Coturnix japonica: one gene and its partners. The protein of the gene in region 2 binds, or shares a complex with, the protein of the main gene of each other region. Links are inferred from orthologs where the notes say so. Each region holds a gene or a part of one and is shown on either strand. Other genes may lie near its edges.

Region 1 (3,231 bases), on a different chromosome or scaffold from region 2:
AAAACCACTTCTTTCATAATCTTGCTTGTGAAAAAATTATGTAGAGTAATCTCTGCTTCCTAAATGGAGTTTTGTTTAGTTCATTTTTAGAGGGAAAAAGGAGAACTAAATAGGAGAATGGTGAACAACTACACAAATTCTAGCAGATGGACTTCAGTCCTCTTGATGGTGTTACAGACTGACTGGCTTCTCAAAGTCCTCCTGTGGTCCTGACAGGAAGGGAAAATTGCATGTCCCAGGCTTTTCCTCTCTGCACAGTCAGGGCCTTGATTGTTTTGTGTTCTTAGCCCCAGTCATTCCTTCAGAGTGACAGCTATGTAGACAGGGAAGATGAGGCCAACACTTAAAGCTTTTGCAGTGTGTTATAAGTTTGAGGTAGATAACACATCACTAGTAGACTACTGGATCTACTAGATCACTACTAGAGCTGACTGATATCTGATTGAAAAATACAGCCACCGAAGAATTTATATAACTAGGCAATAGGACTAGCAGTGCTTTGCAACTAAAGAAAAATCTAAGAATTTCTGCATGGCAGTGTAAGAATCTTGATAAGAACCTCATTGTCTGAAGACAATGAGCAGCCTGAAAAAAGCTCAAAGAACACTGGTTCTGTTTGATGCTGCTGGATGTCAGATCTGGACATTTTCTGAGTAGATGTGGTAGATCTGGCCTGCCGTAAGGCTGCAGGATTGAAGGGAGAATGGCTGCAAACCAAAGCCTTAAGTCCTGTGTAGAGAATGAGTGCCCAGGGCTATTGACACAAACCAAGACAAAACCACGAGCACATCAGACTTTTCCCTTGGCATTTGAAAATGACAAGGGAATACTCATACACTCTTTGTTACCTATGTGTCTACTGAACCAAGAGCTCAGTCAGGTTCTGGGGAGCACAGGGTCAGTGTGTTCACTCTGCTGGGTTGCAGAGGATACGGCTACATGAATCTCTGCAAAGCAGCCCAAGACTGCTTTGTCAGGACTCTCAAAGTGGCCACACGCCAGGACCAGTCAGGAAATGATGTAGCCTGATGAGCATGGTGCCAGAAGGGTTTATTACATGCTATGCTATTTTGCTTTTTTTTTTTTTTTAACTCTACGAATCCTCAATATCTTTCTACATAGCTTCAGAGGGAGAGGGTGAGAATACTTAACTGTAATCCAACTGAAATTTAAAGTAAACTTTAGTGAACACACTGTGTGTGTGTGTTAGAGAATTAATTTTACAGCTAACATCATCTCTTAACCAGAGGTGCAACTCCCAACAGTCTCTTACCTTAAAGCAGTTTTGGAATCTTTTGCTCACCAAATACAGAGCAATTGGATTGATGCAGGAATTCAGAGAGGCCATGTTAATGCCAATGTAGTCCATCACAAGGAAAAAGCTGTGTGGAAATTAAAGTAAGTGAGACTTCTCATTTTCTCGTAAAATGTTTACAGTTATAAAGATTGTGTTCTGCTATACTCATCAAGGAAGAACTATTAAATGTGATAGTAAAAGGGCCTCTGTCGATAGGATTAACTCATGCAGGTAATGATTGTGCTTAATAACGAAGTTTGATTCAGTAGGTCATTCTTTTGAAAGTAATTTCAAAAGATCCATTCACTTTAACTTGTGAGAGGAAATATTCCCGACATTTTCTTCAAAAGTTTAATCCTATCTATTCAGTTGAAAGGAAAAATCGGGACGGAATTTCTCCCACTTCCACGTAATGTCACAAGACAGAATGACAGTCTCAAAAGCGATCAGGAAAAGACCAAGCAAAGAAGAAAGAATCCCTCTGTTTGTAAGCTTCCTCGTAATTTCAACTGTTAATGGAGTGAAACATAATGTTCTGGATAAGAAAGAAAACTTCAGACATCCTTATGGAGAATGCCAGCAGCACATATGTATTTTGTTTGTGTAGCCTCACCTTAAAAGTTCACATCTATTGGGGTCCTTTTGATCATAAATAGTGAGTTTCAATATTCTGCTCAAATGAAGTGGCAGCCAACACAAGGCAAAAACAAGTACCAGGCAGAACACAGTCTTGGCCACCTCACGTCTCTGAAAACGAAAATTGGAAAGTACATCATTACAGTTTCTGTGTCTCTCTTGATGGTTGCTCCCTTCTAATATCCAAATGTTTAATAAAATAAAATCCCTATAAAAATAGGAGTTAAGAGAACATCAGAGTACTTTATTTTCTTGGAATATGTACTTAAAGTTCTTTGTTGTTTTAGATGTCTTGCACCAATTCTCTGTATCTCTAATTTACTGAAGTATGAGTAATGATATGAAAAATCACTGACATAAAAACAGTCTTTTAAATCAAAACGAGGAAGAGTCGTCAGCTCAATCACTTTCAAAGGCTAGCTAGTTTTCAACTGCATTTTCTTGCACTTTGATCTCAGTCCTTCCTTTCATGGTTCTAAGAGATTGAAATTATAGCTTTATCAAGGTAAGAAGATCATGCTTATTTACACCACCACTGCAAATTAGCATGCAAAATAAAGGGCTACTAGAAAAGCATGGATCACAAATATATTTTACAGTAAAAATGTAAATTAATTCTCTGTCTTCAGAATTCAATTCATGACACATGATGTTTCCCTCTGGTGTACTACTAACTTGGAATGTATTCTGCGATGTGTTTTGTTCTGATACACTGATAACCTTATTACAGTTTCGCATGAAATTAATTCACAATAATTAACAATTCCACAGAACCAGCTTCTGTGTCATGAGATGATCTTACTTTTAATCAACAAATACTCAGCTCTCATTATTGCAAAGAAATAAAGCCTATAAAATCTGGAGTATTAACAGCACAAGTGTCTTGTGATCATCACTGAACTTCTTAGGTTTCGAACAGCTCTGACACACATACGAGTTTATTAGCACCACTGCTATGAAGTACTCCTTAGTAGTAATCCTGGAGTTGTCATAGAAGAGTAAGACGATACAGCAGTAAAATCAACAAAGTTATCAGGGATAAATTCTTACCTGTTTCAAGTGATCATTTAAAGCAATCTGCATCCCGCTTTTCTTTCGTAACATCTCACAGGTCATGAGAGTATAGAAAAGTGCTGTGATAGCCAGTGGCAAACAGAAATAAAAGCTGAACAGCCACCAGTCTTTAGCTTGCTTGTAAAACTAGAAGAGGGAAAAATAAAAATAAAGCACTGTTAAGAGTTAACTGTTGACAACTGTGAAAAGTATACTATAAAAAATTGCTCAGTCTGTCCTAAAAG
Region 2 (4,288 bases):
CATTTATCTCTCATCTTCCCTTTCCGCAGCCTTTTTGCTGTCATTTCTATTACTAGAATCCTGTACTCATGGTGCATACATTTAATCAGACAACACAAATGACACAGCAGGCAGAAACTTGCCTCCTGCATTCTAGAAAGCCAGCCACACCAGCCAGAACAACAGATATAATGAATTATAGAATGGTTTGAGTTGGAAGGGACCCTTAGAGGTCATCCAGTCCAACTCTCCACAAGAGGGACACCTACAGAGGCCTCAGAGACCTGTCCATTTTGACCTTGAATGTCTCCACGGACGGGGCATCCATTATCTCTCTGGACAACCTGTTCCCAAGTCTCACCACTCTTAGTGTGAAAATCTTTTCTCTCATACCCAACCTAAATCTCCCATCTTTTAGTTTGAAACCATTCCCCCTTGTCCTATCACCATTTCTCCTTGTCCTACTGAACATCCTGATAGACCTTCTAAACCCAGTAGAATGGAGGAAAGTATCTAAGAAAAGGCAACCAGACTCCATTTCCTAATAGAATAGTCAGGACATATTTTTAAGCAATTGAGATAACATCTGAACATACTACAATATCAAGTTCTATTATTTCTTCCATAATTTAATTATGTTATAGTTGTCTTAAATATGAGTTTGCTCCCTCTAAGCAGATGGGTAACACCAAGCAGAGCCTGGTACTCTTATCTTTAAAGCAAAGAATCCAATGCACAAACAAAGCCCTGAAAAGACTCTCACTGATCCCCCAGAAAACTCTCCATCTGCAATCAACAGCTAAGCCTGTGTTGACCCAAATGGGGGAGAACTATGCACCCTACAGTGCTACCCTGGGGAACAACAGCAGGATGAGAAAAAACTCACCTCTTCATTTTCCTGCTGTCAACAAACTGTTGGTTCACGCATTTAGGTCCAATGCAACCACCAGCTTTGTTGTGGCGATGTGAGGTTTTCTCTGCTGTGGACTGAGCCCTGTTAAAAGGGAAAAGGCGCTGCTGTTAGAACAAAAAACAAGTCTGCGGTCCACAAGGTGAGGTGTCTCACCAACCGATCCTCAAGGCATGCAATAAGCAACCTTTCTGGGCCAAACCATAGAGTGCATCATAGCACCGTGAGCGCCAAGGTAGGAGGCAAGGCTCTGGGGAGATTATTCACTCAGCAAGTGCCAAAATGAGTAAGTCTACCACAGTCCAGCCCTATTCACACACGCTGCCTTTTAAAGAGTCGTAACAATAGACGCACCAGAGATCTTTTCCCGTCTGGCAGAAGTTCAGACATTTCTTGTCTCTTTGGCTGGCACATCGGCATCTGTTGCTGGCTCCAACAAGCATCTCAGGCATTATGTCCTTCAGAGATCTTCTGGACCGAGAAGGGCCTCCAAGACCATAGGGAACAGTCTTCCTATGATCAAAGAAACAACATGAAAGTCAATTCAATAATTCTGTGTGTTTGGAACAGCAGGGTATATTGGGCAATCTTATCAATGGGATTGATTGCATGAGTAAAGGTTGTGGAATTGGGATATGCCTTGTTGGTCATAATTCCCATGCAAATACTTCTGATGATCCTGCAACATAGTAATTAGAGTGGCTACTAGCACAGCTAACAACCTTCTAATTGTGATTTCATAAGGCTGCCATCCCTCCCTGTGTGATAGAAAGCAATAAAGCCTCATCTCTTTGAACTTTGGTAACTGCCAATGCTGAAAGAAGCAATAAAAACACAGATCCTCTCCACTCATTGTGGTAGTGCAGATCACCAAAGCCAGCACTGCAGAGGGTCTGGCTCCTCAGTTTTTGTTTGGTGGGGAGGGGGGGGAGATCACAGAACGGCCTGGGTTGAAAAGGTCCACAGAGATAATCTAGTTTCAGCTCCCCTGCTACTGCAATGTACAAGGTCACCAATCATTAGACCAGGCTGCCCAGAGCCACATCCAGCCTGGAGATGACAGAAGACAACACAGTTCCTAACGCTGTGAGCGCACTGCTCTGCAGCAAAGTGCTGCAGGAGATAGTGAGGGGCCACCTCGTGTACAAGCAAGTTTTCAGCCAGAGAAAATGCTCACGCAAAGGCAGGCAGAACCACTCCGTAGGCTGCGAGGAGCATCCTGCACCTTCTAGAGAGCAGCACCCAGAGCTCTGGGGAGCACAGGTGCATTGGGGAGGATTGCTTTGCTTAGCCTGTGTTCTCAGATCCCCTCTTTGTTCTCCTAGCGAACCGGCTCACTGCTGAACTCAGCAGGAAAGCAGCAGGTGGGATGCAGAACCAGGAGAGCCCGTGGCACAGAAGTATCGCTTTCCCCTTTCTGTCGCGTTCCCAAACCCCCATCCCAACACCATCGCCACCCCTCTCTGCCCCATCCCAGCGGGGCACTCACTCGGGGGTGTTGATCCAGATGATGTCGAGGTGGCAGTAGTACACGCACTCCTCGTCCAGCAGCGACGAACAGGAGCATCGCCGGGCGCGACGGTGCGAAGCGGCTGCGGGGGGCGGCGGGGATGCTGCGCTCATTTCGGCTCCGGGAGCTGCGGAGGGAGCGGTAGTGGCTCAGCACCCGGCTCGGTCCCACCGCCCGGCCCCGGTCCCCCGTGCGAGGTTAGGGCACCTACCTGCCGGCAGCAGCGCCGGGCACAGCGCGACGAGCAGCGGGAGGAGCAGGCGGCTGCAATCCATAGCGGACGACGGGAGCGGGTGGAGAGACGGGTTTAAGAGAGAGACGAGGAGAGGGAGAGGAGGAGGGACGAGGCTTCTCCCGTGGCCGGCTGGGCGCTGGCTCCCGCTGGCGGCGGGGCGCGGGGGCAGGCGGCGGCTCGGGGCGGCACGGCGCGTCTGGCTGGCGCGGCGGTCCCCGACGCCCTTTTATAGCGAACCCCCATGGAGCGGGTAAACAGCCCCGGCGCTATTTTATCCCGAGACAATGTTGTGCCGCTATTAGTCACCGCGCGGCAACGTGCGGCCCGAGATAAGGCCGGCCCGGGGAGGAAATCGCTTGCTAACTTCAGAGCGCCGGCCGCGGGCGGCGGGGGGGGGGACTGAGGGGGGAACCGGGACGGGACAGGGGCTGCAGAGGGCGCACGGCTGCCCTGCATCTCACATCTCACACCTGAGCACAAGAGCCGCCCCGCCCCAACGTGTGCTGTAGCCGCGGGGATGTCCCTCGGATCCAGCTGTGGCACAGCTGTGATATCGCGCTGTCTGGGGTCTGTGCGCCTAACAGCGGGGATGTGGGTCAGGAGGGGGCGAAGCTTTGGTGCACGCCGCCGGGATGCGGCTTTTTCAACACCTTCACACCCGCTGCCTCCTCGTCGGTGCAATGTCACGGTGAACGCACACGCCGAGCACCGTGAGGGCTCCAAACCTGGGCTCCAAACCCAGGCTCTGAGGAGCTGCTCGAGCTCCTGCGCGGAGCTGCAGCCCCGGAGAGCGTGCCAGTTCCACCTCTGATAAACAGATAAGGCCCTCTCGGTATTCGTGGTATTTCCTCGCACTGTGCTGCAAGAATAGGAGTGACCTTGGGTATCACAAAGAGCCAGGCTGCGAGCTGAGAGTCGTATTGTTTTACCCCAGGTGAATGCCCGTGGTTTTTTTGTCGGTTATGGTGTTGTTCTGAGCCGCTGTATCGTAGCGGACGGAGCTGTGCTGAGTCAGAAGAAAGTCTGCGTTGCTGCTGAGCTTTCTCCAGCAGAGGCTGTTGGCACGTGGGACGAGAGCAAGAAAGGAACGCAAGTGGAGACGAGTCCTCCCTTTGCCATAACCTCCGGGGATGAAATTTTGGGGCCTTCTGAGTAATACCTGGCATTTCTATCATGATGTTGAATAAACTTAAATGTTAAGCCAAATCCTCAGCTGAAACGCTTGTACGCAGCTCAATAAAAGCTGCTCTCTAAAGCTTCTGTGAGTGGAGGAATCTGAGCTATATGGTTGCTTACACCTTTGAAGTCTGCTTTTTCAGAGCTGGAATTGTATGTGCTTATGTATCATATCATCTTGTCCACACAGAGCAGTGCTTACCCGGTGGGATATCACTGTATCCATGCCTGAATGTGTGAACTATTACAGTAATGATAAGAATCTACCAGCAGAGGTCACCTAGCTACAAATAAAAAACTAATCTGAGCCAACTGGAATCATAAACTTTATCAGTATTTGCAAGTTGGGAAAGAAATCAGGTGGGTTTTTGTTCTCTTCTGTTCCGTTTGCTTGGCGTTAAGAAAGAAAATAAATGCAATGCAGTTATGTGGGTTGAAGGATAGCGATGATTTCTGTATAAAATAGGCACAGCCTTTC
Region 3 (4,191 bases), on a different chromosome or scaffold from region 2:
AAAAAAAAAAAAAAAAAAAAAAAAAAAAAAAAAAAAAAAAAGGAAACACATCAATACACCAAGTAGGGTAACACATCCTATTTCTCATTTAGAAAGAAGGGTATTTGTGCACTTTCTATAACACAAGTATGTAAACACTTGTTCATCATCATCGTGTTACTCCGAAGTCTAGATTGCCCCCATTTGTTCATTCTCTAACAAGACACAAAGACAAATGAGATCCTGCAGAATCCTCTTAGTTGGAGACAATTTGTATATGAAGGTACAAAATATGGTGGGTGAAGCTCTGTTTTAAAATACAGTCTCGCAAGAAAAGCATATCATCAAAGGGAGGCCTTGGAAGCTGTTCTAGGGTATTTTAAACCAAATTAAAGGTTATTATTTTGTCAATTAAAAGGTGAGGTACCAGTGCTGTATTAATACTTATAGGCACCATATTTGTTTTTGTTGGTTTTTTTTTTTTTAGTATTTTTTATATTTTGCAATAATTAGGCTTCATGGGCTTTTTTCCCCCCAACTTTATAATTACCCAGATTTCAGAAGACTGAAAATACATATATTTAAGATCAAAATTTGCACTGTATCCAAAGTCCAAAGACATTAGGAGGAAGACTTTCACAGTCTCAGGACATTTGACCAGGAAAGGCCCTTAAAACTGCTTGTGTCAATGTACTGAGATAAAGAAAAGCCTCTGGTTCCTGAATAATGTCACTGTAGCTCATGTTGCAGTCCTTATCAGGGGTTAAGTTAATTATAAAAAAATTATGCTCTTCCAAAGATAAAAAAATACTTGGTTTAATGTTCTAAGTGATAACTCGTGACATTTCCAGATAGGAAAGGAAGCATCACAGCGTTCCTTCCTGGTATAACTGCCTGTGTGTATCTCCAGAGCCGCTGGCTCCTGCTGCAGGGGGCAGATAGAACCTTCTGTGAAACCTCCTGTGGAGGTACAAGCCAAGGAAGTCACTCTAAAATCCATTTCCTTGAAATCTTGATCTAACTTAGGATGAGGTTTCCTTAGGTGGTTTGTGTCAGTGTTGCCAAATGAAGAGTAGAAAGTATTTATAACTTTCTGATTTCTAGAGACTCACATGAAGGATTTGGGAGGATCCTTTAAATGAATCCTAATTGCACTCCCTATGGAGCTATTAACTCAGTTTATAATAAAACAAAACAATATACAACAGAAAAACCATGGCAGACAACTCACTGATAGAAGCTCTGGACACAGCCACACTGTGAATATTTATTGTGTGATCTGTAAAAGTGTGTGCATGGCTATATGCAGCTTCTGCAATGCTAATGCATATTTCTGCCCGGTATGTAGAGCCCTATCCCTCACAGACCAGTAATCCAAATTGAGTCTTCTGTCTTGGTGCATTTGAGATGGCCAGCTGACCAACTGTGAGTACCTGTGCACTTGCTTTCAAAGTTTTATATACTAAACAGCAAATCTTTCTTTGTTAAACGTCTGTTACAGTGATAGTGCAGGGCAGTCAGCAAACATCAGCAGGATGGAAGTGTTTTTGCTTTAGGATTCTAAATCATATCAAAAATAGCAGGCAACTTTTTTTTTACCACAACTCTTTTCAGGCAAATATTTACATCATCCATAGTGACTATAGCTCCCACACACAGTTTTAGTCATAATATAGTATACTCCTTATTTAATGATGCTTCCCTGTGACAACTTAATATGCACATGCCATATGGACATGGTGGTAGCACGGTAATCACACAGGCAGCATGCAAAGCTAGGAACAAAACTGCCAGTTGCCACCTCTTCCCTCTCAGCAGAAACTTACCCATAAGAAGCAAAATTAAAATTGTGTTATAATTATTTCTAACGATATATTCCTGTGGATTCCTGACAAATCCACAGTGTGTGTATTATTACAGTGCATAGCAACAGCCCGCGACCTGCCTCATGTAGTTAACATGTTAACCTTACTAGTTACAACTTAGAACAAGTTAACCTTACTAACTTTCAGCAATACTGTATTTTCCTTCTTCCGCACGGTGTGAGGCGGTGCGGCAGACCTGCAGGCCACGTGTATGTGCTGTCCCTGTGCTCAGTTACAAAGTATGGGCTCGGGGACATATGGGTATGGGCTCGAAGCTCCCCGCGCCTAGAATGGCAATGAGGGCATACTGTTGGAAGTGAAAGCGTTCCGAGTGTTAAAGAAGAGCTAGAACGTGAACAGCACTTTGTGTGCCCCAAAGGCGGCTGAGGTGGAAACAAGATCTAATAAACCAAAGCACGAAAGCTGTGAAAGAAGCAGCGCCGACAAAGTGAGTTTCTCTGGGTTGTCTCCCAGCGGCACAGCGAGCGCTCCTCGCTGCCGGGCTGCTGTGTTAGCAGTTCTCCCGCTAACACAAAAGACTGTCCCTCCACCCGCACCACCACCGGGGATCCATCCTCACCCCACCCTCCAGTCGCTCCGTGCCCCGCCATTACCTGGCGCGCTGCGGGCTGCGCCCCGCGGCCGGCTCCGCGCACTCAGCCCAGCCGTGCGGCCGGCCCCGGCTCCGCGCTCATGCTGCGGCTGCCCCCGCTGCCGAGATTTCCTCCGAGATCTTTTCCTGGGATAGTCTGGGCAGATCCTTCTGCCCGCCGCTCACTGGGTGGGATAGAAAATCTCCACCTCCGCTGAATCAGTAACGGAAAGACGGACTGAAGGCTGAGCGTCCTCTCCGTTCTGCCCCCTCCCCCAATTAAAACAAGCCTGCAGCCCGATCCGAGCCCCTGCCAACGTTAAACACAAAGGCTGCCTCCCGGGCACAGGGGAACACTGAGAGCTCTTTAACTGTTTCCTTTCTGAAATGGAGGTAAACTACTTGACCGGACTCATTTAAGCAACAGCCTTTGGGAATGCATCCAGTCCTGTAGCTGCCTCCTAATAGCGTGTTGGGTTCACGCAAAGGTTGTATGTCTGATTGAATCAGACGACTTACGAGCCGCAACCAGACTGGGGGAAAAAGATATGATTAAATGCACAGCTTTTGTTTGCATTTTTCCCTGACTTGCTCAGGATTATGTTTGCAAGGCAATCAGTAAAACCGGGTGTGCAAAAGTTTCAAAAACTCAGGATCTGTAAAGTGCTCTTGGGTGAAACGTTCTGTGGTCCATCCAGGACATACCTTGTTATTACCTTTTATTTTTCAACACCAAAACCTCTTTTACAAAGACAATAAAATTGTAGGATGTTTTGGGATTTGTGCATTTCCTAATACTGCTCTTCTGACAAGGTAGAGGAACAAAAAACAGAAAAATGGGAAGTTCTCTCATGGTTAACAATCTTCTCTCACTATGAAGAAAAAAAAGAACAGCTTTTCAGAGAGTGCAGTGCAGCCTGAAATTGAACCAGTTTCAAGTTCTCTTCACACTAATAAGTTTAAGAAATGTTGAATCCCTTGTTGAATCATTTCAAGATCCCAATTTCATGGCAAGTTTCCATCTGGCTTTAGCACAGAAATAATTTTCTACTTTTGAGGCAGTCTTCCTAAATATGATATAAAAATGTATGGTCCTAGAGAAATCAGAACAAAAAGAAAAGAACAATAGAAAAATGCAATGCCTAGTGGCCCGCAGAGTTAAGATACCTGGTAGTAAATCATGTAAGAAGTTGTTTAAAACTTTATGAGTACTGCACAGTTAAAAGAACGTTTCTGTAGACATTCTCTTAAATCACTTGATAAAGCTTGAACCAAAAATCCCACAAAATCTGGGTGTCTGCATCAACTAGAACACTAATGCTGCGTTTCTTCTAGAAAGTCATCTCTGTTAAACATGTCAAAGTGCAAGATCTTTCAAGGAACGTAAGTGTTCAGGCTGAGAATAACAAGAAGCCTACTGCTATCAAATCAGATATAAAAGTTTAATTCAAAATGTCATGTTGCCTTGAAGCTGAGTAAATGCTGACAAGCCACTAAATTGTCCATGTGATATTAGTGAAAGTTATTTTAAAAAATCTTTACAGTTTGGTCAGAGATGCTTAGTATTAACAATGTGCTTTGTCAAGAATCATCTGTAAGAGAACGTGCTGGAAAACCTCTTGAAGTGGTAGGTAGGCTGTACTTGAAGTTCATGCACACATTATGGAGTGCTTTCTCTAATGCAATTATTGAATCTCTTGGATGTTCTCCCTTCCCACAGTCATTTGAGTCCTATTGTCCAAAAAGTTAGAATTG

What was found.
Region 1: the proteins of EDN1 (region 2) and EDNRB are in contact, whole or in part, in a cryo-EM structure (PDB 8XWP), measured with the Homo sapiens proteins. The link is inferred for Coturnix japonica from reciprocal best matches to the Homo sapiens genes EDN1 and EDNRB. Residues at the interface, in NP_001403492.1 of Homo sapiens: Cys53, Ser54, Cys55, Ser56, Ser57, Leu58, Glu62, Cys63, Val64, Tyr65, Phe66, Cys67, His68, Leu69, Asp70, Ile71, Ile72, Trp73; in NP_000106.1 of Homo sapiens: Pro88, Pro89, Ile94, Glu95, Ile157, Asn158, Lys161, Glu165, Asp166, Trp167, Val177, Pro178, Gln181, Lys182, Val185, Phe240, Ile243, Met245, Tyr247, Leu252, Ile254, Leu256, Leu257, His258, Pro259, Lys270, Lys273, Leu277, Trp336, Leu339.
Region 3: the proteins of EDN1 (region 2) and EDNRA are in contact, whole or in part, in a cryo-EM structure (PDB 8HCQ), measured with the Homo sapiens proteins. The link is inferred for Coturnix japonica from reciprocal best matches to the Homo sapiens genes EDN1 and EDNRA. Residues at the interface, in NP_001403492.1 of Homo sapiens: Cys53, Ser54, Leu58, Asp60, Lys61, Glu62, Cys63, Val64, Tyr65, Phe66, Cys67, His68, Leu69, Asp70, Ile71, Ile72, Trp73; in NP_001948.1 of Homo sapiens: Tyr68, Gln72, Thr73, Lys74, Tyr129, Asp133, Ile136, Asn137, Lys140, Leu141, Gly144, Arg145, Trp146, Gln165, Lys166, Val169, Glu220, Phe224, Val227, Phe229, Tyr231, His236, Lys237, Thr238, Cys239, Met240, Leu241, Asn242, Gln252, Lys255.

The regions. Positions count from the first base shown.
Region 1 is NC_029516.1:138,029,482-138,032,712, reverse strand, and holds part of EDNRB (endothelin receptor type B), read right to left. Parts: intron 3,134-3,231; coding exon 2,984-3,133; intron 2,045-2,983; coding exon 1,911-2,044; intron 1,383-1,910; coding exon 1,274-1,382; intron 1-1,273. UniProt on the Homo sapiens protein: Non-specific receptor for endothelin 1, 2, and 3. Mediates its action by association with G proteins that activate a phosphatidylinositol-calcium second messenger system.
Region 2 is NC_029517.1:66,442,861-66,447,148, reverse strand, and holds the start of EDN1 (endothelin-1), read right to left. Parts: upstream 2,823-4,288; 5' UTR 2,675-2,822; coding exon 2,611-2,674; intron 2,527-2,610; coding exon 2,379-2,526; intron 1,403-2,378; coding exon 1,244-1,402; intron 974-1,243; coding exon 866-973; intron 1-865. UniProt on the Homo sapiens protein: Endothelins are endothelium-derived vasoconstrictor peptides. Probable ligand for G-protein coupled receptors EDNRA and EDNRB which activates PTK2B, BCAR1, BCAR3 and, GTPases RAP1 and RHOA cascade in glomerular mesangial cells.
Region 3 is NC_029519.1:28,053,596-28,057,786, reverse strand, and holds the start of EDNRA (endothelin-1 receptor), read right to left. Parts: upstream 2,809-4,191; 5' UTR 2,459-2,808; intron 1-2,458. UniProt on the Homo sapiens protein: Receptor for endothelin-1. Mediates its action by association with G proteins that activate a phosphatidylinositol-calcium second messenger system. The rank order of binding affinities for ET-A is: ET1 > ET2 >> ET3.